Mus musculus: one gene and its partners. The protein of the gene in region 2 purifies or fractionates together with the protein of the main gene of each other region. This does not show direct contact. Links are inferred from orthologs where the notes say so. Each region holds a gene or a part of one and is shown on either strand. Other genes may lie near its edges.

Region 1 (6,473 bases), on a different chromosome or scaffold from region 2:
AAAACACCCATGCACATAAAACTAAAATAAAACTTACAGAGCAAGTTCCAGTACAGCCACGACTACACTATGAGATCCTATCCAAAGAAGTCTTTTTTTGTTTTGTTTTTTGTTTGTTTTGGTTTTTCGAGACAGGGTTTCTCTGTATAGCCCTGGCTGTCCTGGAACTCACTTTGTAGACCAGGCTGGCCTTGAACTCAGAAATCTATCTGCCTCTGCCTCCCGAGTGCTGGGATTAAAGGCGTGCTCTAACCACGCCCGACTCCAAAGAAGTCTTTTTATTTTATTATTTATTTATTTAGTTAGTTAGTTTTTCGAGACAGGGTTTCTCTGTATATCCCTGGCTGTCCTGGAACTCACTTTATAGACCAGCCTAGCCTCCAACTCAGAAATCCGGCTACCTCTGCCTCCCAAATTGTGGGCTTAAGGGCATGTGTCACCACTGCCCAGCTTTTTTTTTTTTTTTTTTTTCATTTCTACCATTTTTCTAGACAGGCTTTTTCTGTATAGCCCAGCCTGTCCTGGAACTCTCTCTGTAGACCAGATTTAGCCTTGAATTCATGGAGATCTGTATCTGCCTCCAGTGCTGGGATTTAAAGGTGTATACACCACCACTCAACAAAAACAAAAGTTTTTTAAAAGTTAGCTAGAGGGGGGAAAAGAGACTGTGGGGCAGAGGGTGCACTGGGTAGGTCTTGACTTCTCCTTAGCAACGCTCCACAGCGGGGAAACCTCAACACCCGCCTCCGGAAGCTGGATGAGCTGCAGGAATTCAGTGCCATCGTCCTGGCTGTGGCTGGCCTACAGCGCATGGGCTGGCAGAACCGGGTGGGCCAGGTAGGAGCTGCCCTGTTCTGCTTCCCATTGAATCTGCCTCTCTCCTGCCTTGATTTCTTCCTGACCATTCTGCCAACAACACTACAACCAGAAGCCCAGGCTAGGGATATTGGGACTCATTGCTGGACTTCCTACCTGTGCCTTCCCCAGGCTTCCTAGATTGGCAAACCCTAGCTCACTGCCTTTGAACATCCCCTATCCCACCATCTTGTCTCTCTCCACAGATTTTGCACCCAGAAGAATGCATGTATGCTGTGGGTCAGGTAGGTTTGCCTGGAGAGAACCTGGTTCATAACCTTTGGCACCTGCTATCCATCAAATAAGATGTTTAGAGAGGGACAGGTTTGGTTGTTATGCATAAGACCCAGGGAAGCAGGTAGAGGTGTGTTTCTCATGCTTAGCTCTATTACTAGAGAAGATCAGGCCTGTTGTTCTTTAGGGAGCCCTAGCCGTGGAAGTCCGAGCCAAGGACCAGGATATCTTGGACCTAGTGAGTGTGTTGCACGATCCTGAAACTCTGCTTCGCTGCATTGCTGAAAGGGCTTTTCTGAGGCACCTGGTAAGATGGGCTCCTCCCATGGTGTTGTGGGGAAACCAGGAAGGGCAGTAGGGAGAGAGATTTGTCAAGTACTCAGTATGTAATGTTTTGTATGTATGGAGAGGACCTTGATCTGGCCCCTTGAGGTCTGTGGTCAAAAGTGGTGTTAAAGGCCCTTAGAGCTCAAAGGAACATATCATTGCAGGAAGGAGGCTGCAGCGTGCCCGTAGCAGTGCATACAGTGATGAAAGATGGGCAAGTAAGCCAGGGAAATGGATGAGGGGAGGGACTGTCATTTCCATGTGCACCGAAACATCTAAGTAACTTTCTTTAAATATCCTGGTACAAACATTTTATTTCCTAGCTGTACCTGACTGGTGGAGTCTGGAGTCTAGATGGCTCAGATAGCATGCAAGAGACTATGCAGGCCACCATCCAGGTCCCTGTTCAGGTATTGACTGGGAGATGAGGAAGGAATAAATAGAACTGCTTGTAATCTTCCTCTTACCAAAATTGTAACCTGTCATCCAGCAAGAAGATGGTCCAGAAGATGACCCACAACTGGTTGGAATCACTGCCCGTAACATTCCAAGAGGAGCCCAGCTAGCTGCTGAGAACCTGGGCATCAGCCTGGCCAGCTTGCTGCTCAACAAAGGAGCCAAGAACATCCTGGATGTTGCACGGCAGCTTAATGATGTGCGCTAACTGGTCTGTAGGGCACAGGAACCCTGGCTGCCACTCCACTGCCTACTTCTGGCTTCCAAGTGCCCTGTGCTCCATCCCTAGGGATGTGATTATCCCAGGAAATTGAACCACGGGGTTGTTGAGACTTCCACTTTGGAAGATATGCCTCACCTTGGGGCCTCCATATCTGCCTTTCCCTCAGTAGTTGGGGGCTTCATCTCTTTAGAGAAAGTCCATGCCAATCTTTGAATGTAACCAATACCACTAATAAACCAGTTTAGAATGTGGTTCTTCTGATAGAGTTGGGGAAGATATGAATAAACCCAAAGCCCTTTTAAACTTGAATTGAGTCTGAGACCTTTCTGTTGTAAAACACGCTGTGATTTGCCTCATGTTCTCAAAAAAAAAAAAAAAAAAAAAAAAAAAAAAAAATCAGCCTTCAATTCCTACAGCCTGTCTTCAGTCAACGGGATCTTCGTGGATTACATAGCCTTTCCCACTCCCACGGCCTGCAGAAAGGGAAGTCCCATTCTCTCCCAAGATGTGCCAGGCACATGGCTCTACCACGGAGCTATATGTCCAGCCCTGGGACTACAGCATTCAACATTAAACCACTTTTTTAAAAAAACAAAACCAAACGATCCTTTAATAAAATTAGCCCATTAAATCTCCCCACTTAAGGTTCTAAACTTGTAATAGCTGCAAAAGTTCCAGTTCAGAAGCCAGAGGCTCAGTCCAGACAGGGATTCACCGGCTTGTGCTGGTATCTAGGTGTTTGGGTTGTAGTTGAGTCGCTGGGGAAGAGGGGATGGATGGCTAGGCCCGGCTGCCAGTCGCCTGCGGCAGGTATAGAACTCTTGTCCACAGGCCGGTAAGCGTCTCTCTGACCCTTGCCGGGAGGTATTCCTAGAGAAACTGGGTTCACATTACAACCATTTTTGGCCCCGCCACACCACACTGGCCTACGAATGGCGACAGGGTCAACTGGTATGAGGCCAGCAACGGTGACACCGAAGGAAACAATGTGATCCATTTCTCCTCCTCTAAGCCCGGCAATCAAGTCACTTTTCAAAGGTCCAGGCGAGGGCTAAGCACCAAGCTGAAGCAAAGACGCCGGGGCTGTAGCTGCGGAGGGACTAACCTTCAAGCCCACCGCGGCCGGACGTCTGAGCGAGGGGCCGAGACTCCGGGAAGGCGCCGCAGCCTCTCCGCACGGAGCCGTCGTCCACAACCGAGAACGGCGAAGCGATGTCACGAGCTCCGGGATGGGCAGGTGCCGCGGCGCCCGCGTCCTCCGTGGCAGAACCGGAGGCCGTGCGGGGTAAGGGGAAGAGTGGCGCGAGGGCGGGGAGGGGAGAGGAGGGAAAGAGAAAGGATGGGGACGCGGCAAGCCGCCGCAGCCCGAAGTGGCTCAGCTCTTTCTGTGAGGGAGGTGGTGGCCCTTAAAAGGGCCTTTGTGGAGGTGTGGGGAGGGCTGGGCGGCCTCGGCGCGGGCCCCCTCAGTACTCCTGAGAGGCCTGCGAGGCCTTCTTGCCGACCGCCGGCGCCTTGGGCCCCACGGTGGCGCTGCTCTTCTTGGGCAGCAGCACGGCCTGGATGTTGGGCAGGACGCCGCCCTGCGCGATGGTCACGCCGCCCAGCAGCTTGTTGAGCTCCTCGTCGTTGCGGATGGCCAGCTGCAGGTGGCGCGGGATGATGCGCGTCTTCTTGTTGTCGCGGGCCGCGTTGCCCGCCAGCTCCAGGATCTCGGCAGTGAGGTACTCGAGCACCGCTGCCAGGTACACCGGCGCGCCTGCGCCCACGCGCTCGGCGTAGTGGCCTTTCCGCAGCAGCCGGTGTACGCGGCCTACAGGGAACTGAAGGCCGGCGCGTGAAGAGCGCGACTTGGCCTTGGCGCGGGCCTTGCCGCCGGTCTTGCCGCGTCCGGACATAGTGTACGAGGTAGAAGAGCTGCGAACAACGCTGAGAGACCACGAACTACCAACCGCCGCAGTCAACGGTCGCCTGGCCGGCCAAGCCCGGCCTTATAAACTCCCTGGACACGCCCCCGCTTCCTCCTGATTGGTTCCTTTTTTAATACCCACCTCTGGTTGGTTGCAATTAACCCTTCGGTGACGCGCCTTAGCTGAGAGAACGCGCCCAGTGATTGGTCCAATTTGAAAACCTTTTACCCGGGGAAGAAGACAAGGCGGAGTGGCCGCAAGCCGGAGGCTGCTCACCCCTGGAAATGGCCAATCCGTGTAGAGCGCGCGAAATTTAAACGCTACGGCGCGACAACAAAACCTGAAGACTAGAAGGGTGGAGCTTGGAGCTACCTCTACAGTTTCTGGGAAATTTGAGTCGGTCTTTGGTCTTAAAGGAAAAGGGTCTACACTATAAGCAGCGTTCTCCTTCCAGGTTAGAGCACTTCCCACTCCCTCCTCTAATCTGGTAGACGGAGGGTTTATTTGTTCATTATTATTTTTAGGTTTGTTTGTTTGTTTTTCGAGACAGGGTTTCTCTGTGTAGCCCTGGCTGTCCTGGAACTCACTCTGTAGACCAGGCTGGCCTTGAATTCAGAGATCCGCCTGCCTCTGCCTCCCAAGCCTGAGGATTAAAGGCGTGCGCCACCACCATCTGGCTTTTGTTTGTTTGAGACAGGGTTTCTCTGAGTAGCCCTGCCTGTCCTGGAACTCAGAGATCAGCCTGCCTCTGCCTCCCTAGTGCAGATTAAAGGGAGGGAGGGTTTAAAAGAAACGAAATGAAACCTCCTAGGAGTTTAATCCTATGCCAGAAAATGGAGCACTGTGATCTTTTATGCTATCACAAGTTTGTGCTGCGATATTTATTCAACATGTTCTGTCTGGTCTTAGTTTGTGACAGGCCTTTTTTGCAAGAAAGGGTCTGATGGAACAGAGATCGGTATCCTATTGGGAAAGGTACCCGGTCTAACCCTTCCAATCTATCCTAAAATGCCTATATAAAAAATAAATATACCAGACTTGGCATATAGTTCAGTGGTAGAGCAGTTAAGTATAAGGAAGCCCCGGTGTTCACTCCTGAAGCACCACGAAGGTTAAAAAGGACAGAGGGAGGGGATGCTACACTAGAGGAACAAGTAAAAGGCAGTCCTTTATTGTCACCGTTCTGAGCACATGGCCCTGCCTCTACGCTTCCCAATCACAACACTTCATTTGATAGTCAAATGTGAGGTCACCTTGGAGTATGTAGCCCTAACTCTAGCCCTAGCCCAGGTTCTCTCTCAAGGCTCAGGTGAATTCCTTTAGAGTTAGCGCTCTGAAAGCTGAGCTACGAATATTTGCATAATAGAGGCTACAAGCCCACCTGGTGAGGCTGCAGATGGGACAGAAAGGGAGGGCAAGGCAAGATGAAAGCCCTAGGCAAAGTCCAACTAGCGGACTTCAAGTCCAGCAAGGTGTCCATCCAGGATATCAGTAGTCACAGATGGCAGAAGCTGAGAACAAAAGTGTCAGCGAGGCCTGGACCAGAGGGTCATCTCGGACCAGACAGAGGCTGGTCCTGGCTGAGGTCCAATGGAGACTGTGAGGTAAAGGGCAGCTGTCAGGGAGCTCAGACATCATAGAAGAGTCGGACGAGTTGGTAACGAATGGAGAAGGTGGCGGCGCTGCTTAGGACCTGGGAGAAGTGGACTGGAATTAGAAGCAAGGCCAACCAGAGATGTAAACGCCATGGCATTACTAAGCCCCACCCTGAGCTGTACCTGCAGGAGCAGCAGGAGCAGGGTGAGGTTTCTCTCATGTATAGGCCCAAAGACTTTAAGTAGCAAGTTGATGAGGGTCATGTTGTTACACTCAGTGAAGGCACCGTCCTCACTCTCACCTTGGTGAACTGTCACTAACCGGAGGTTCTCTGCTACCTGCAGGGACCAGAGGTGAAGATGACTTCAGTTATGCAGATCTACTTCACGAATAGGGATCTTCTTGATGTTCCCAAACTCCCCTTGGGCCTGAAAAGGCCTAGGTTTCTCTTTTCCCAAGTTAAGGATGGCGGCCTCGGGCCTTACCTCCTGTTACCTTGTTACCTTTAAAATAAAGGTGCCCAGGAAAGAGAGGTTCTTGGTCTTGAACTTGGAATAGCTCATTTCCAGTTTGCCTGTCTTTGCGTTGAGTCTGCAATGGGAAGATAATTTCATTTGACTGAATCAGAGACCTCTGCACCCTGGTTACTAAGAAGAGTACTGAGGCCGGGCGTGATGGCGCACACCTTTGATCCCAGCACTCAGGAGGCAGAGGCAGGCGGATTTCTGAGTTCAAGGCCAGCCTGGTCTACAAAGTGAGTTCCAGGACAGCCAGGGCTATAAGGAGAAACCCTGTCTTGAAAAACCAAAAAAAAAAAAAAAAAAAAAAAAAAAAGAGTACTGAGTACTTATGTACTGGAGTTGGTTTCTGGCTCC
Region 2 (7,543 bases):
GAGAGAAGAGTTAAAAATTATGTAAGCCCCTAGACTTGTGTCCAAAATAGACCCCACTAATGGCAGGGAGTAAAAGTTTAACTCGCCCCAATGTTTCAGGATGTACTAACCACAAAGTACAACTTTAACTTGCTCCATTGTTTTAGGAAATGTTCGTACAGAATACTCCAACCGTTCCTTGAACCCGTTATGCTTGCCAAATGCTATATAGCCCATGCCAGATGTTTGCGATTTCTGCCTTTATAAACCCCTTACCCTTGAGCTCAGGGTCAACTCCTCTACCCCTGCATGGGATACGAGTCGTCCCCAGTGCACTGGCCTTTCCTGATTAAACCTCTTGCTGTTTGCATCAAGACCGGTCTCTCCTGAGTTCTTGGGCGTCACGCCATCCCTGGGCTTGAGTGAGGGTCCCTCCCGGTTCGGGGGACTTTCATAGCCAAGGATGACTTTGATCTCCTGATCCTATCTGTACCATCCAAGTGCTGGGATTATACGTTGTACCACTCTCTCTAGTGTCATGTGTTAGGGAACAAATTCAAACCCAAGAATAAACAGCAACAGTAGCAGTAGAGTAATTGCATGTTCCCCCCAGTACCCCCTTTTCCAGAGATCTCATTGAGGTTCATGACAACTTACAAGCCTCATTCAAATCTACCCTCATGGCCTAACTCCAACCCAGAATTTCCACTATTTTTTATAGGAAACTCTCACCTTAAATGGGACAGCTTCTTCCCAACTGGTGCACATACCAAACAGCATCTTGTGTGTGTGTGTGTGTATGCACCCATCTAATTTTGCCATCCAAAGTCAAAGCCTTGGTACCATTTATGCATTTATGAATTCAACAGACATTTAAGATTTAGCACACACAGTATTCGAGGAACAATGGGGACACAGGAAAGATTAATGGGGATCCAAACTTCTGCAGGGGATAGGGAGATCCTGAAGCAGCCTGGAGAAGTTCCCACCAAGTAAGGTGGGTGGAGAGTTGTATTTGGTGGGTGAAAGCAAGCCTTGGGGGGCACAAGAAGGCTGACTGATGAACTGAGTTATTACGGAAATACAGAAGGTTGTGGAGAGGACCAATTTTAGTGATTTCTGATAATTAAGAAATTTGAGCTGGAGATGGCTCAGCAGTTAAGAGCACTAACTGCTCTTCCAGAGGTTCTGAGTTCAATACCCAGCAACCACATGGAGGCTCACAACCATCTGTAAAGAGATCGGATGCCCTTTTCTGGTGTGTCTGAAGACTGCGACAGTGTACTCATATAAAGTATACATACAAAATACATATAAAAATAAATCTTTAAAAAATATTGGACAGAAGAACTGTAATTCTGGGATTTGCTTATGAGTTGAGGGTCTAATTCTATAGCCCAAGTTGTCCTGAAACCTGGGATTTGTGATCTTGCCTCAGCCTCTTAAGTGCTGGAATTACTGGCAATGAGCTATAATGCTGGGCTTAGTTTTTTGTTATTTATTTAAAATTTATGCATGTGTGTTTTGCCTGCATGTATTATGTCTGTGCACCACTTGGACGCCTAGTGCCAGAAGAGGGCGTCTGGTTCCTTGGAACCAGAGTTATAGACAGCCATGTTGGTGCTGGAATTGAACCCCGCTAATGTGGAAGAGCTACCAGTGTTCTTAACCTCTGAGCCAGCTCTCTAGTCCCCAGTTCTTTCCAATGAGTTGATTTTCTTTTACTTTCAGGAAATTACTCCTTTCCGTTATATATAATCCATATAATGAAAAGAACCTGCTGGATTGTCCCTCCAACCCTAACTACCCGTGGCCAGCACCCCAGTCCTTAGTTCATCACGTTCAGATTAAGAGCATTCTAACCAGTTACAGTACCCGCCAGACTCTTCCTCTGGTGTCCAGTGCACACAGAATTAGACTAACAAACGCAAAACAGGCACCACCACAATGACGACCACATTACCCATCTTGATGCTAGGCCATCCATCCATCGCTAGATCTGTTCCTACTTAGAATCGCTCTCCACAAAGAGGCCAGCCAGCTTCCTCAATAAGCCAGCCCAATGTAGTTTACACTTTCCTCAGTCCTCCAGCCTTGTATCCGTATTCCCTTCTCCCGTGGCTAAACGCCACCCTCAGGCACCTTCTCCGAGGGTCTTAAATCTACATTGGCGATAAGCAGCTCGTTCCCGCCTCTTTGCTCTCGCCTCACCCAGCACTGCACCAAACAGTTTCTACCCTGTATTAATTCGAATTTTTCCACAGACCTAGGTCTCCGTTTTCCTTTGTCAGTACAGGCCTCACAGAGCCTGGCCAAAGACCGCGGAAGCGCAGTACAAACGCTAGTCAACTTTAATTGAACCGAATCCGGCGGGGTTTGTCGGAATCTGAGGGCGTGGAGGGAGAGAGGGAGGGACAGGGCTGACAAAACCGCAGAACGCAACTGGAAGCCCCAGGTCCCACACAATAGAGACTTCAGGCAAAAACTGCTGAGACCAGAGCCCCGTGCTAAAGCACGGTCAGCGTGGAGATGGCCGCACATCGCCATGGCTCCCTCCAGCCCCAGCCGTTGGTGGGCGTGGCAACCAGTCTCGCGGGAGCGGCGGTTGGGCGGGCCGTTGTCCCCGAGGGCGGGGCGAGTTGCTAAGGAAATGACCGCCCGCAGCGGCTCACCGCGCCAGTAGGGCGGGGCCTGGAGCAGCGCGGTTTCCGCTTCCGCCCTCTCCCCGCTCCTGTCCCGTTACCGCCTCCTAGCCGGCCTCGCGCCTTTCGCCGGCACCTTGCGTCGACTGCGCAGCCGGGCCCGCTCCTTGCCACGCGCGCCCCCAGGGGCCCCGGCTCCGGCGCCGGCAAGGGTCGCGTCCCGCTTACCTGTTCCTCAGGTAGCCAGCCATCCGCCGCCATGGGTGCCTACCTCTCTCAGCCCAACACGGTGAAGTGCTCCGGGGACGGGGTTGGCGCCCCGCGGCTCCCGCTGCCCTACGGCTTCTCCGCCATGCAAGGCTGGCGCGTCTCCATGGAGGTGAGACAGGGCCCCAGCGGCTGGCCACTGCATGGCAGGAACCTGACAGAGAAAGGGAGCGAGGGGGATGGGGTTCTCCTCAAGCAGGGGTCCCTGACGAGAGCCTGCAGCCACGGTGCGGGAGGCGGCGGCGAGCGCGGGATCCGGGCGGAGAGGGAGCGGCTAGAGCTTGGGGACCGCGGCCTGATGGCTAGTGGCTGCGGGAGCCCTGCCATGTGAGAAGAGGCACCTTCCGCCTACTGGCCGCCGTCTCTCCGTACCTTCGCGCCATCCTCTGGTGCCAGCCCAGCCCTCCAGCTTTTCCAGCGGCATGGGGTTGTCAGAGGGAAGAGGGAAGACTCGTTATTTGTTCGCTTATTGGTCGAATAGATGTGAATGACTGGTTCGTTTTTATTCTTGAAATATGTAATGTGGCAGGCCTCTTGGGGCTACAAACTTGATGGCGAAAAGGAGCCCGGGTAATAATGTGCTTTCCATTCTTAACCCTCAGTTGCTTTTAGCCTTAGACACCTCATGTTAATTTCAGAAGCCCCGCTTGACCTTCGAGAATTGTCACTCGTTCGTATTCTTTTCGAAATCTTTTATGATCTTTAGGAAAGGAATCGTGTCTGTCACTAGGCTTGCTTTTATTTTTTATTTTTTGAAATATGCTTGTAATTTTTTTTCTTACTCGATTTCTTTAAAACTTACTGAGTTGTCATTTTCCTCTGCATATAATTTAGTATACTCGATTTTCAGTCTTGTCATCAATCCTTTTTTGTCACCATCTACGAATAACTTTTAAAAAGAAAAGAAAAGTCCACTTTGGATGAAAGGGAAAGCAATCATTTGGATTGACAGTGTTGAGCAAATGGATGTGAAACTACAATGAACAGGGAATAGGTGTCTTTGAGCAATTTTGTGTGAAGTCTAAGGGACTAGTGAAAAGTTCTAATTATGTCTGGAATCGAGGGTTTATCCAGTTAGTAGGTGGGCTACAGGTAACAGCCAAATAGTTTCCCTTGGTGTTTTTTTTTTTTTTTTTTTTTTTTTTTTCTCTCAAATTCCCTCGCTCCTCCCTGTGGTTAGCTCTGGAATGACAGTGTGAACCTAAATGGTTTGTTCTCAGACTCAAAAGCTATTTTCACCAGCTTTTGATTATGGCTCTAGCATTATCTAGATCCAGCAGAATCTAGATAAATAATTTCAGCAAGGAGAGGGTCCTATTCATTTGGCTCAGTGCCCACATTTAATGGCTTGGAAATTGAGGCCTAGAAAGATTAGGGTACTTGTACCTTGATACAAAGAATTGTATTAAGGTGTTCAAGACAATAGGAGCTGTTCTTATATAGGTGTCAAGATGAAGCACAGCTTTCATATTTCTCAGTGGCATGCTGTAGTAATGACTGGGTAAAGTTAGAGATACCTGGGTATAGTATAGCTTCAGAAGGAAAGCCTTGGGGGTGGCTAAGTGCAACTTGCTGTTCTTACAGGGGACCAGAGTGTGATTCTCAGTGCCCACCCATGTCAAGGAGGTTCCAACAACCTGTGGTTCAAAAAAAAAAAAAAAAAAAAAAAAAGCCGGGCGTGGTGGTGCACACCTTTAATCCCAGCACTTGGGAGGCAGAGGCAGGCGGATTTCTGAGTTCGAGGCCAGCCTGGTCTACAGAGTGAGTTCCAGGACAGCCAAGTTCGAGGCCAGCCTGGTCTACAGAGTGAGTTCCAGGACAGCCAAGGCTACAGAGAAACCCTGTCTCGGAAGAAAAAAAAAAAAAACCCGTGGTTGAATCCGGTGCCCTCTTCTGGCCTCTGCTGATAACTAGTTCTTTCAAGTGCAGTGGGGGTTGGGGAGGGTGGTGGTGGAAGAAAAGCCATAAAGTTAGTCTGGCTGGTGTTTGGGTTAGGCTATGGGGTTCTTTTATTCTCATCTCATAGACTTTTCAAGTTTCTTGTTTTTTAATTTCCGTGGAATGAAATGGTTTTTCCACTTTTGGGGGCACTCTTTCTAGTTTTTTTATGAATTGAGCTGAGTGTTTTTAGATCTAGGAATTCTGTGATTTTACTTCTCTGCTAAGCATTTCCCACTGTGTTTTGGTTCCTCCATTGGAGATTAAAAATCTACTTCATTTTGAGTTTAGGGCTGTTTGGTATGAAGAATTTTGCTCAACTGTTCTTGAGACCATAATCTTCACTCTAAAGGCAATGTTTGAGCATTACAGCTCCTGCTGTGCTATTCCTGGATTTACTTTTGTTTGAGTAAATATGCCTAATCTTGAAGTGCTAGTTAAGATCCCTTTCTGCTGCATAGATACTTTCTTTCTAGGTTTGTGTCCTCCCTCAAAGTATTACATAGTATCTTTGCTATTTTAAGAAAGACACTAAAGTTTTTAGTCTCTTAGAAGAATCTTTCAGAAAATAAGATCTTGATCTAAGAGTGTATATAGTTCAATAGGCCAAAAAGGTGGGGAAAGAGTTATGCTATGTCTTGGTTCCTCTTTTCCTAAGGAATAGACTTAATTCCACCAATTAATGAAGCCCATTCACATTGTTGGCTTGATTCTAAAGACTGGGTTCAGATAAGTTGTATTGGTTTACCTTACAGAAGTTAGTAAAAGTCTGACACAGCTTTAAGCCTGTTTTAGTCTCTCTCTTGAACCAAGGGTGGGTGGTAGTCACCAAAAGCTGGCATTTCATACCTTCTGTCTCAGTCTCTCCAACCCTCTTGCTGTAGAACTAGAATTTGGGGGAGGAAGTGGAGAGGGTGTCAAAATGCTGTAGTGATACACCCCCTTCTTTGTGATTTGGAGGGATTCTCCAGCTTGTTGAGCTATCCTATGGAGTTAAAAGGAGGAGGAGGTGCTGAGAAACAAACAAAAATTGTGAGGTTTTGGTGGCTGGTGAGAAGTCCAGTTTGAACGCAATGTACTGTTGAAAGGAAAAGGATTGTTGAGGCTCCTCTGAAAGAAAACAGTTTTGTGGAGAGTTGGGATGTTACAAAAATTCAATAAATACTCCTCTTTATTTTTTTAACTTTTTAAAGAAATACTATTTATTTAATGTATATGAATACACTGTAGCAGTCTTCAGACACACCAGAAGAGGGCATTAGTCCCATTACAGATGGTTGTGAGCCACCATGTGGTTGCTGGGAATTGAACTCAGGACCTCTGGAAGAGCAGTCATTGCTCTTAACCACTGAGCCATCTCTCTCTCTCTCTCTCTCTCTCTCTTTTTTTGGTTTTTTGAGACAGGGTTTCTCTGTATAGTCCTGGCTGTCCTGGAACTCACTTTGTAGACCAGGCTGGCCTCGAACTCAGAAATCCTCCTGCCTCTGCCTCCCGAGTGCTGGGATTAAAGGTTTGTGGGTTTTTTTGTTTTTTGTTTTTTTTTTGTCTTTTTGTTTTTCGAGACAGGGTTTCTCTGTATAGCCCTGGCTGTCCTGGAACTCACTTTGTAGACCAGGCTGGCCTTGAACTCAGAATTCTACCTGCCTCTGCCTTCTGAGTGCTGGGATTAAAGGCGTGCGCCACCAAGCCCGGCGTTTTTTTGTTTTTTTTTTAATGAGTGCTCTTTCTGCATGTATACCTGGATGCCAGAAGAGGGCATCAGATCCCTTTATAGATGGTTGTGAGCCTCCATGTAGTTGCTGGGATTTGAACTCAGGACCTCTGGAAGAGCAGCCAGTGCTCTTAACTGCTGAGCCGTCTCTCTCCACTACTTTCCTCCTTTTAAAAACTCTCTGTATTTTTTTTTTAAGCATTGTTTGTATGTGGATATGCGTGTGTTATAGCACACATGAGTTCAAAGGACAGCTTGTGGAAATTTCATTTCTGTTCCTACCATGGAGGTCCTAGGATTGAGCGCAGGTCGCCCAGACTTGGTGGCAACTGCCTTTACTTATTCCTGTTATTTCTGCAGCCTTTTTGAGAAGCTGAGGGTAGGAAACAGGAATTTATTATGTAGCCCTGTCTGTTCTGGAACTTGCAGGTATCCTCCTATCTCTGCCTCCTGAGTGTTAGGATTACAGGTTTGGATCACCAGACCCTATTTGGTATTGATATGTTTTGAATCTAACTTTGAGTGGTCATCATGAAAGATTATTGAAGGACTGAATAGATGATGTCTCAGCAGATAAGAGCAACTTGATGCTCTTCCAAAGGACCCCGGTATGGGGGCTAACAACTGCCTTCTGTAAATCCAGTTTCAGGGGATCTTACACCTTCTCCAGGCCTCTTTCAGGCCTGCCTGGATACCAGCTACACATGTGATGCACAGATAATTCAGGCAAAATGCCCATACACATAAAATAAAAACACATCTTAAATTTTTTTACAAGAACATCTTGACTTGAATATCATGTTGAATAGAAAACTCTCAAGATGATTTGTTTTGATTGAAATGGTCTTATATAACCTCAAACTTACTGAAGATGACCTTGAACTCCTCATAGGACTGTCTGATGCCTATAGAAGCCAGAAGAGTGTTGGATCCTCTGGAACTGGAGTTACAGATAGTTGAGTCACTGGGAGGTCGTGTTGGTGCTGGGAACCAAATCCAGGTTTTG
Region 3 (7,431 bases), on a different chromosome or scaffold from region 2:
GAGGACTGCTAGTTAATGCACTAAGCAACCCCTCTGATATACATTCCCAGCTTCCCCATCATTGACTTAAAGCCACACATACAGAGCAGTCCTCCTAGTTGAGAGCAAAAGGTTGGGGTTAGGGAGCTGATAAGCTAGAGGAAATCACTAGGTAAATTATTGAAATACTGTATGAGGAATGATGGGCCTACATTTCTTTCTTTCTTACCAGGCTGGCCTCAAACTCAAGAAATCTGCCTGCCTCTGCCTCCCAAGTGCTGGGATTAAAGGCGTCCACTACCAAGCCCAGCTCTTTTTTATTTTTTTAAGATTTAATTATTATATGTGAGTACACTGTAGCTGTCTTCAGACACTCCAGAAGAGGGCGTCAGATCTCTTTACGGATGGTTGTGAGCCACCATGTGGTTGCTGATATTTGAACTCAGGACCTTCGGAAAAGCAGTCAGTGCTCTTATCCGCTGAGCCATCTCTCCAGCCGGGCCTACATTCCTTGTTGCAAAACTTCAAGTTTCTATAGCATTAAGTCTGCCTTTTGTCTTGAGAATCAGAGTTACGGAGGCACAGGACCAGCATGCTTCTGCATGTAGGTGTGTGCACATGCTTACAGTGGAGAGAGAGCACCATGGGTAATTCCAGCACTCAGGACTCCAAGGAAGGGAGGCTACAGAAATATTGAAGCCAGTCTGAGATACATATTGAGTTCTAGGCTAGAGATCCTGTCTGAAAGAGGCAGAACAGAATAAACTCACAAAAAAGAAAAATCGAATTACATTCTAATGAATACATTACAATAGAACTCATTTCCTGGGCAATCTTGGTGGCCCATGCCTTTAATCCCAGCACTCTGAAGGCAGAAGCAGGTGGGTCTCTGAGTTCAAGGCCAGCCTAATCTACAGAATGAGTTCCAGGACAGCCAGGGCTATACAGAGAAACCACCTGGCTCCGCCCCCCCCCACCGTGGGGGGAGGGGGGCAACCCAACCCAACCAACAAATCACAGCCAAACAAAAATTATGCTTGCATAGTAAACAAAAAAATCTTTCTTAAAATCAGGATAAGATGTGGAAGTATTCAGAACATATCTATACATGAAGCCATTGGAAACATACATTACAGGCAGAAAATACACACAATTAAAAAACCCCACGAGGCTATGACTTTAAGTGTTTCAGAGAACACTAAATCCCAAGTTTCCAAAGTGTGGCTAGTGTAGGGCAATTTCTTTACACCTTAAAAACAATACAATTTACATGCTATTTTGACCCATATGCTCCTAATCCCCCCATGACTTGCAGCTGGGTATCCAAATGAGGGGAGGGGAATGTTAAGCAACTATATGCAACGTATTTTTATCTTGTTTGTTGTATTTGTTTTTTGTTTTTGAAACAAGATCTCAGACTGTAGTTCAGGCTTCGGGATACTGAGATGGCAGGTGTGTCGCTACAGCTCGTCAATGCACACGTTCTTTATATAATACTACACAGATCTTGTAAACGAAGTCTGGACATCAAAGCTTTATGGGAACTGCTAAGTGGTCTAAGGACGCGCCTCCGCGAAACTTTGTTAACAGTCCAGGGCCCCGACGGGGTCTCCAAGGGCAATTAGGGGCGCCTGAAGCCAGCTCTGCTCGAGTCTGGAATGGGCTGTGTGACCTTGGACAGGCTCCACTCTCTCTCTGGGCTTCAGTTTGCAAATCCGCACGTTGGAAGGTGAACCACGTGGTTCTCATGGTCCGGTTCCGCACAGAGCGCGGCAGCAAGCCGACCTCACCATGAAGGCAGCTTCCTGTGGGCGCGGCGCAGGACTTTAACGGTTCCCGTCCCCGCCCCCTCCGAGGCCCGCGAAAGGCTCGCTTTCCGTACACCGCGGCGAGTGACGGCTCTCCGTAGCGCGCAGTCCGAGCCACTCGCGCGCAGCTCCGCCCCACCCCGGAGGCGTCCCGTCGTGCTCCGCGCCAGACTCCTAAGAGCCTGGGCGCCTCCCGCCTTTCCGCGCGGCGGCGACCCCGAACTCCTCGCTTCAGTTCTCCCGGCGCCCCGTCCTATCAACGTCCAGGATCCCAGCCAATCCGACGCGCCTGGAGCCTTTACCTTCCGCCCACCCTTCTCCCCGCGCACAGCCGGGCTGAGCCCGAAGGCCTTTACCGGGCCAGCCCAATCAGCGGCGCGCTCTTACCTGCCCCACCCCAGAGCCCCTCCCCTCGACCAATAAGCACGCCCCATCCCGCTGCCCGCCCAGCCAACCGGACCTTGAAGCCCGCAGGCCAATGGGCGCGTGGCGGCCCTTCAACGCTAGCCGTCCGGCCAATCGGGGGTTCCGCGTGGCCCCGGCCGTAGCCAATCGCTGGGCAGCGCGGTGCCGCCGCGGAGAGGTCCGGCAAGGATATCCCTCCGCCTCCCTCCCTCGATCTCTCTCCCTCCCTGCGATCCGCCTCTCACTCACTCACTGCCGCCCTTCCTTTCTCCCTCCGCCGCCCGAGCAGCAGCCGCGCTCCGAGCTGCCCCCGGGGTCCCTCCCCCGCCGCCAGAGGAGCAGCTGCTGCCGCCTAGCACATTAGGAGGGCGGAAGGAAGGAAGGAGAGCGGGGAGGAAGGGGAGCCGGAGCGCCTGGCCAGAGGCAGCCGGTGAATGGGCTTGTGGTGACCCCCACCCCCCACCCCACCCTCCCTTCCCACCCGACCCCCAACCCCCATCCCCAGTCGGAGCCGCCGCCCGACAGGCCGGGCCGCCGTCTTGCGAGGAGTCCCCGCCGCCGTCACCTCCGCCATGGAGCTCATAACCATCCTCGAGAAGACCGTGTCTCCGGGTAGGACTCGGGGCCGGGGGGTCGGGCCGAGGTGACCGGGGTGGGGGAGGGGGTGGCCCCTCTGACCCCGCTGCCTCTCCCCCCATCTCTCCCGGCAGATCGGCTGGAGCTGGAAGCGGCGCAGAAGTTCCTCGAGCGTGCGGCCGTGGAGAATCTGGTGCGTGCCGCCCCGCCGCGCCCCATCCCGCCGCGTCCCCATCCCTGCGTGCGGCCCTTCCCGCCCTCCTGGAGGCCCAGGCCTCAGGAACCCACCCCGCCCCAGCTCGTCCCCCTACCCCCCCGCCCGGCCCAACCTAACCCCGCCATCGGGAAGCCGGTGGGTGTGTCCCGCCCCGAGCCCCGCGTCTGGCCAATAGCGAGGCGCGCCGGGGTGATCGCCGTCCAATCGCCACGCGGCCTGAGGGCGGCGGTGCTGCGGGAGGGAGAAAGAGGGAGGGAAGGGAAGTTAGGTTGCATGGCGCTGCGTGTTCAGCAAGGGTGGGGGTTGGGGAGCCGGGCCTAGGGGCCATGTGGAAGCTCTGCGCCCTGCCGCCTGCCTTGTACTGGCTGCGGCCGGCCTCTCCTTCCTGTCCCCTGGTTTTGAGGCAGTATGCAACTACTTCCCAGAGCCCTACCCTTCCCCAGCTCCCTTGGTCTGTGCTCATGGCCACGCCTGGCACCCGACCACCTCTGGACCCATTGCCACAATTTTTTTCTTTTTCTTGCCCATTATTATCCCATTCCTGGTCTAAGTGCACGAATGTTCTGTTTGGACTTAGGTTTTCAGAGAACTCATCTTTAAGGATCTCAGGCTGAGGCTCATTTCTGAGATTGAGCCTATTCTCTGATAAATCACAAATGTAACCCCGTTTTTCATACTTTCGGATTTAAGAAGTACATTTGAGAAAAGAAAAAGTGACTGACTTTTGTATAGGAAAATGTGGGATTATTGAAGCAGCCTATTGCCAGAATGTTTCTCCTCTCCTTTTTGGGGGAAGGGGAGGGAAGCGTGGATGATATGGAAAGTCTCTTTAAAGGTAGGAAGTTTTAAAAAGTGAAAAAAAACATTGTAACCCAATGTCCTTTGTGAGAGCTTTGCAAAATAGTAACATCCATACAGCGACATATCTGATTTGTACTGACCACTTTTGGTGGAGAGGTAAGCGACTTGTGTTAAGGTTTTTTTATCTCACACCTTTCCAAGCATTTCCTTTTTAGTGTAGACTGAGAATTCTGCTCATAGTATATTCTTGGTTTTGCTTTTGCTACTTTGCAAGAAGCCCTTTTTCCTGCTCCTAACTCTTCAGTGGCACAGAATAGAAATTGGAGAATTGTGTTCTGAGCCTACTGTAGAGTTTGCTTACATTGAGAATTATCTCCTGTGTTTGAAGAGTTTGCTAACACTAAAAAAAGTGTCTACTTTGGCCTTCTATAACATTCCTGATTGGACAGATTACGTACAGGCCCACCCCCCTGTGTGTGCCTCTGTATGCTCAGAAAGAGGAAGGGGGGTGTTATAGATGATTATCTTTTGGACCTGTATTTCAAAACATAGATTTTTGGATGATTCATTGTTAGTTCACATTAGGTCCAAAACACCATAGGCTCCCTGGTATGTTCTGCTTCTAAATGAAGCCAGTTTTTTTTTTTTTTTCCCCTCTCTCTTTTTTTTTTTTTTTTTTTTGGGCGGGGGGGAGTCAAGACAGGATTTCTCTATATAGCCCTGACTATCCTGGAACTCACTTTCTGTAGACCAGACTGGTCTCCCAACTCTGAAATCCACCTGCCTCTGCCTCCTAAGTGCTGGGATGAAACCAATTTCTCTTGACAATTCATCATTCACATTGTCATATTCTTTCAATTTCTGAAAACTAGTTAACACTTTGGCTTACAGATCCCTTTTGTTGAACATGCAGAACTAAAACACGGAGGACTCGGTCTTACATGTATGTTAGACTGGCACACATATGTTAGAAAGGATGCCTTACATGAGATCACAGGGCTGTCCTGATGTTTTTGAACAAGATTTTTTTTTTTTTAATATACTTTTCAAGAATTCTTTTCGTTGAGCTGATTTGCAGTACTGGACATTGTTGTACATGCTTGGAGAAAGTTGTCACTAGGATTGCCGTGTCACCAGGCATCGACTTGCCTTTAATTCTGGGGAGATATTTATTAGACTTGGGCTCAAAACATGTTCTTGATAGGAGGAATCTGTTTCTTCATATAGCAGGTGACTTGTCCTTGAAGTGGCTTTTGTTGCTTAGTCAGGCCTTAACTTTTTGAACCCAAGGAAACCTCTTCAATGTTGAGTCTAGGCAGGTACTATTTCAAAGAGAGATTTCCCAGTTTCCTGAGATACCTTGATTTGATCTAAATTTTGTGTGCTTCTCTAGTTTAGTACTTTATAAGCAAGGGGAAATTGCTAATATGCTTGCAAATGCACCTTCTCCACAGCCCACGTTCCTTGTGGAACTGTCCAGAGTGCTGGCAAACCCAGGAAACAGTCAGGTTGCCAGAGTTGCAGCTGGTCTACAAATTAAGAACTCTTTGACATCGAAAGATCCAGATATCAAGGCACAATACCAGCAGAGGTGGCTCGCTATTGATGCTAATGCTCGACGGGAAGTCAAGAACTATGTAAGTGACTGTCCAATCCTTGATGTCACATGGTCTAAGGAACAGCATTGTAAGGGAGTGTTCATTTACCTGGCATAGAGCATGACAGATTTCTGAGACCTCAACTTTAACTGAATGTAAAAATTTATTCTGATTAGTCTCTTGGTGTGGAAATGGGTGTTTGGTGTGTTGTTGGGTTCAGCTTGCTAAGGTGACCTGCAGCAGCTTGGGAAACTTTAGTTGGGTCTCTTAAAAGATTTCACTCCTGAAGTACTGGGAGTGCCACACTGCACTCCGGGGTATCTTTGAGTGTGTAACAAGGTGTTAAGTAGCCCAGTCCATCCTCGGTTTTATTAAAGGGTGGCTATGAACTCCTAACATTTCTGCACTTACTCTAAAAGGGGTCAGGTGTTTGCCACCATGCCTGGATTTTCATAGATATCTTAAACATATTTTCTACTTTAAAAATGTGTGTTTATGTATGTTTTAGCAACTTTGGAAGCCAGAAGAGAGTGTTGATTCCCCTGGATCTGGAGTTACACGCCATCGTGAGGATCAGACAAGGGTGCTGGGAACTGAACTCTTTGGAGAGCAGGGAGGGTTATGCTGTTTTGCTCTCCCCAACACAGTCCCACAGCTCCCCTTTGTTTTAGGGATGGCAGGTCCTGTTGTTTGCTGGTTTTTACAGGATAATGTGTAAAGTCAGGGAGATAAATAAGTAATTTTGAGTCAAACAAAGAGCTTGAAGATTTGTCTATCTATTTATGTTTCACTATGTAGTCTAGGCTGGCCATAAACTCACAATCTAACTGCCTTTGCCTCTGAGTCCTGGGTGTGTAGCTTGTCTTTTTATGTACTTAAAACCAGTTATGGAAAACTTTCTTGAGATCTCAGCATTGTGAGTGAGTTCTTTGCTGGTTTTGCATTGTGGCCTTTTTATGATTTTGTTGTTGTTTTGTTGTTATTGTTGAATTAGAAAGCACAGGATTCAAACATAGATAGATAGGCTTGCCTTTTTCTTGTTTTAAGTACTAGTTACTTAGTGGTCTTTATGGATAGGGGCCAAAGGAAACTTGATAAATTAAATAGTCACAGTCATAATTTGTTCAGGGTATTAAGGTGGAAATGAGAGGAGTTTCTGTTTGTATTTAGGCAGGTCAAGATTATGGGCATCATAATTGCTGGATTTAGATTCTACTTTTAGGCAAATTAGTGTCCTGTGAGGCAGGTGCTTCCCTAGCAGTGACCCCCCCTCCCTTTTCCAGTCATCCTGTCTACTGTCACTTGGCACAAGTTAGGAAAACCAAATTACTTTGATTCTTCCTTGGAGTATATAAAGTTATTTTTACCCAAAATTGTGTCTACTCGGAAATGACATTTTTCTGAAGTGTTACTTTTAGACAGAGTCTCACTATAGCTGAACTCACTATGTTGACCAGGTTGGCCTCAAACTCACAGAGATCAACCTGCTTCTGTTTCTCTAGGGCTGGATTAGAGGTATGCCAATGTGTCTAGCTATTGAGTTATTTTAAATTACACATATGTGTGTGGGTATGTGCACTTTAGTACAGGTGCCTATGGAGGACAAAGGTGTAGGATCCATCCCCCTGGAGCTGGAGTTACAAGGAGTTGTGAGCTTCGTGACATAGGAGCCAAGCTTGAGTTCTCTGCAAATGTTGCATGCACTTTTAATGTCTGAGCCATCTTTCCAGCCAAGCATAATAATATTTTAATCCCCACCTCCTTAGTTGTTGGACATAAATCTTTTTTCTCTTTTGTTAGTTTTAATCATTTGAAGCTAGAGATCTCACATTGTTCCCAGGCTGGCTTCTACCACACACACGGTAGTCCTTTTCCCTTGTTCCCTGGTACTAGGTGTCTGCATCCTGGGCAGGGATTTAGTCAGATTGAGTAACTCCCATTCCCCTTCTGAAGTTTTAGAGAGCTTACCTCATTTTTCCTTTAGGATTTTCAGAAAGGAGCTTGCTCACTGTAGCCCAGGCTAGCCTCCGTCTTCTGAGTGCTGAGC

Evidence for each region. Proteins that work in one complex are often made in the same cells at the same time.
Region 1: the proteins of Ppm1g (region 2) and H2ax purify together in Homo sapiens (affinity purification with mass spectrometry; 4 studies listed by BioGRID and IntAct, counting the BioPlex papers as one, with this or other methods). This does not show direct contact. The link is inferred for Mus musculus from reciprocal best matches to the Homo sapiens genes PPM1G and H2AX.
Region 3: the proteins of Ppm1g (region 2) and Kpnb1 purify together in Homo sapiens (affinity purification with mass spectrometry; 3 studies listed by BioGRID and IntAct, with this or other methods). This does not show direct contact. The link is inferred for Mus musculus from reciprocal best matches to the Homo sapiens genes PPM1G and KPNB1.

What each region holds. Positions count from the first base shown.
Region 1 is NC_000075.6:44,332,279-44,338,751, reverse strand, and holds H2ax (histone H2AX), read right to left. Parts: upstream 4,038-6,473; 5' UTR 3,991-4,037; coding exon 3,559-3,990; 3' UTR 2,675-3,558; downstream 1-2,674. Other genes in the region: Hmbs (porphobilinogen deaminase), read left to right, coding at 724-837, 1,062-1,100, 1,277-1,396, 1,581-1,634, 1,740-1,826, 1,907-2,080; Dpagt1 (UDP-N-acetylglucosamine--dolichyl-phosphate N-acetylglucosaminephosphotransferase), read right to left, coding at 5,630-5,695, 5,781-5,936, 6,102-6,189. UniProt on the Homo sapiens protein: Variant histone H2A which replaces conventional H2A in a subset of nucleosomes. Nucleosomes wrap and compact DNA into chromatin, limiting DNA accessibility to the cellular machineries which require DNA as a template.
Region 2 is NC_000071.6:31,215,760-31,223,302, reverse strand, and holds the start of Ppm1g (protein phosphatase 1G), read left to right. Parts: upstream 1-2,757; 5' UTR 2,758-2,880; coding exon 2,881-3,000; intron 3,001-7,543.
Region 3 is NC_000077.6:97,182,919-97,190,349, reverse strand, and holds the start of Kpnb1 (importin subunit beta-1), read left to right. Parts: upstream 1-2,457; 5' UTR 2,458-2,764; coding exon 2,765-2,804; intron 2,805-2,902; coding exon 2,903-2,961; intron 2,962-5,240; coding exon 5,241-5,423; intron 5,424-7,431.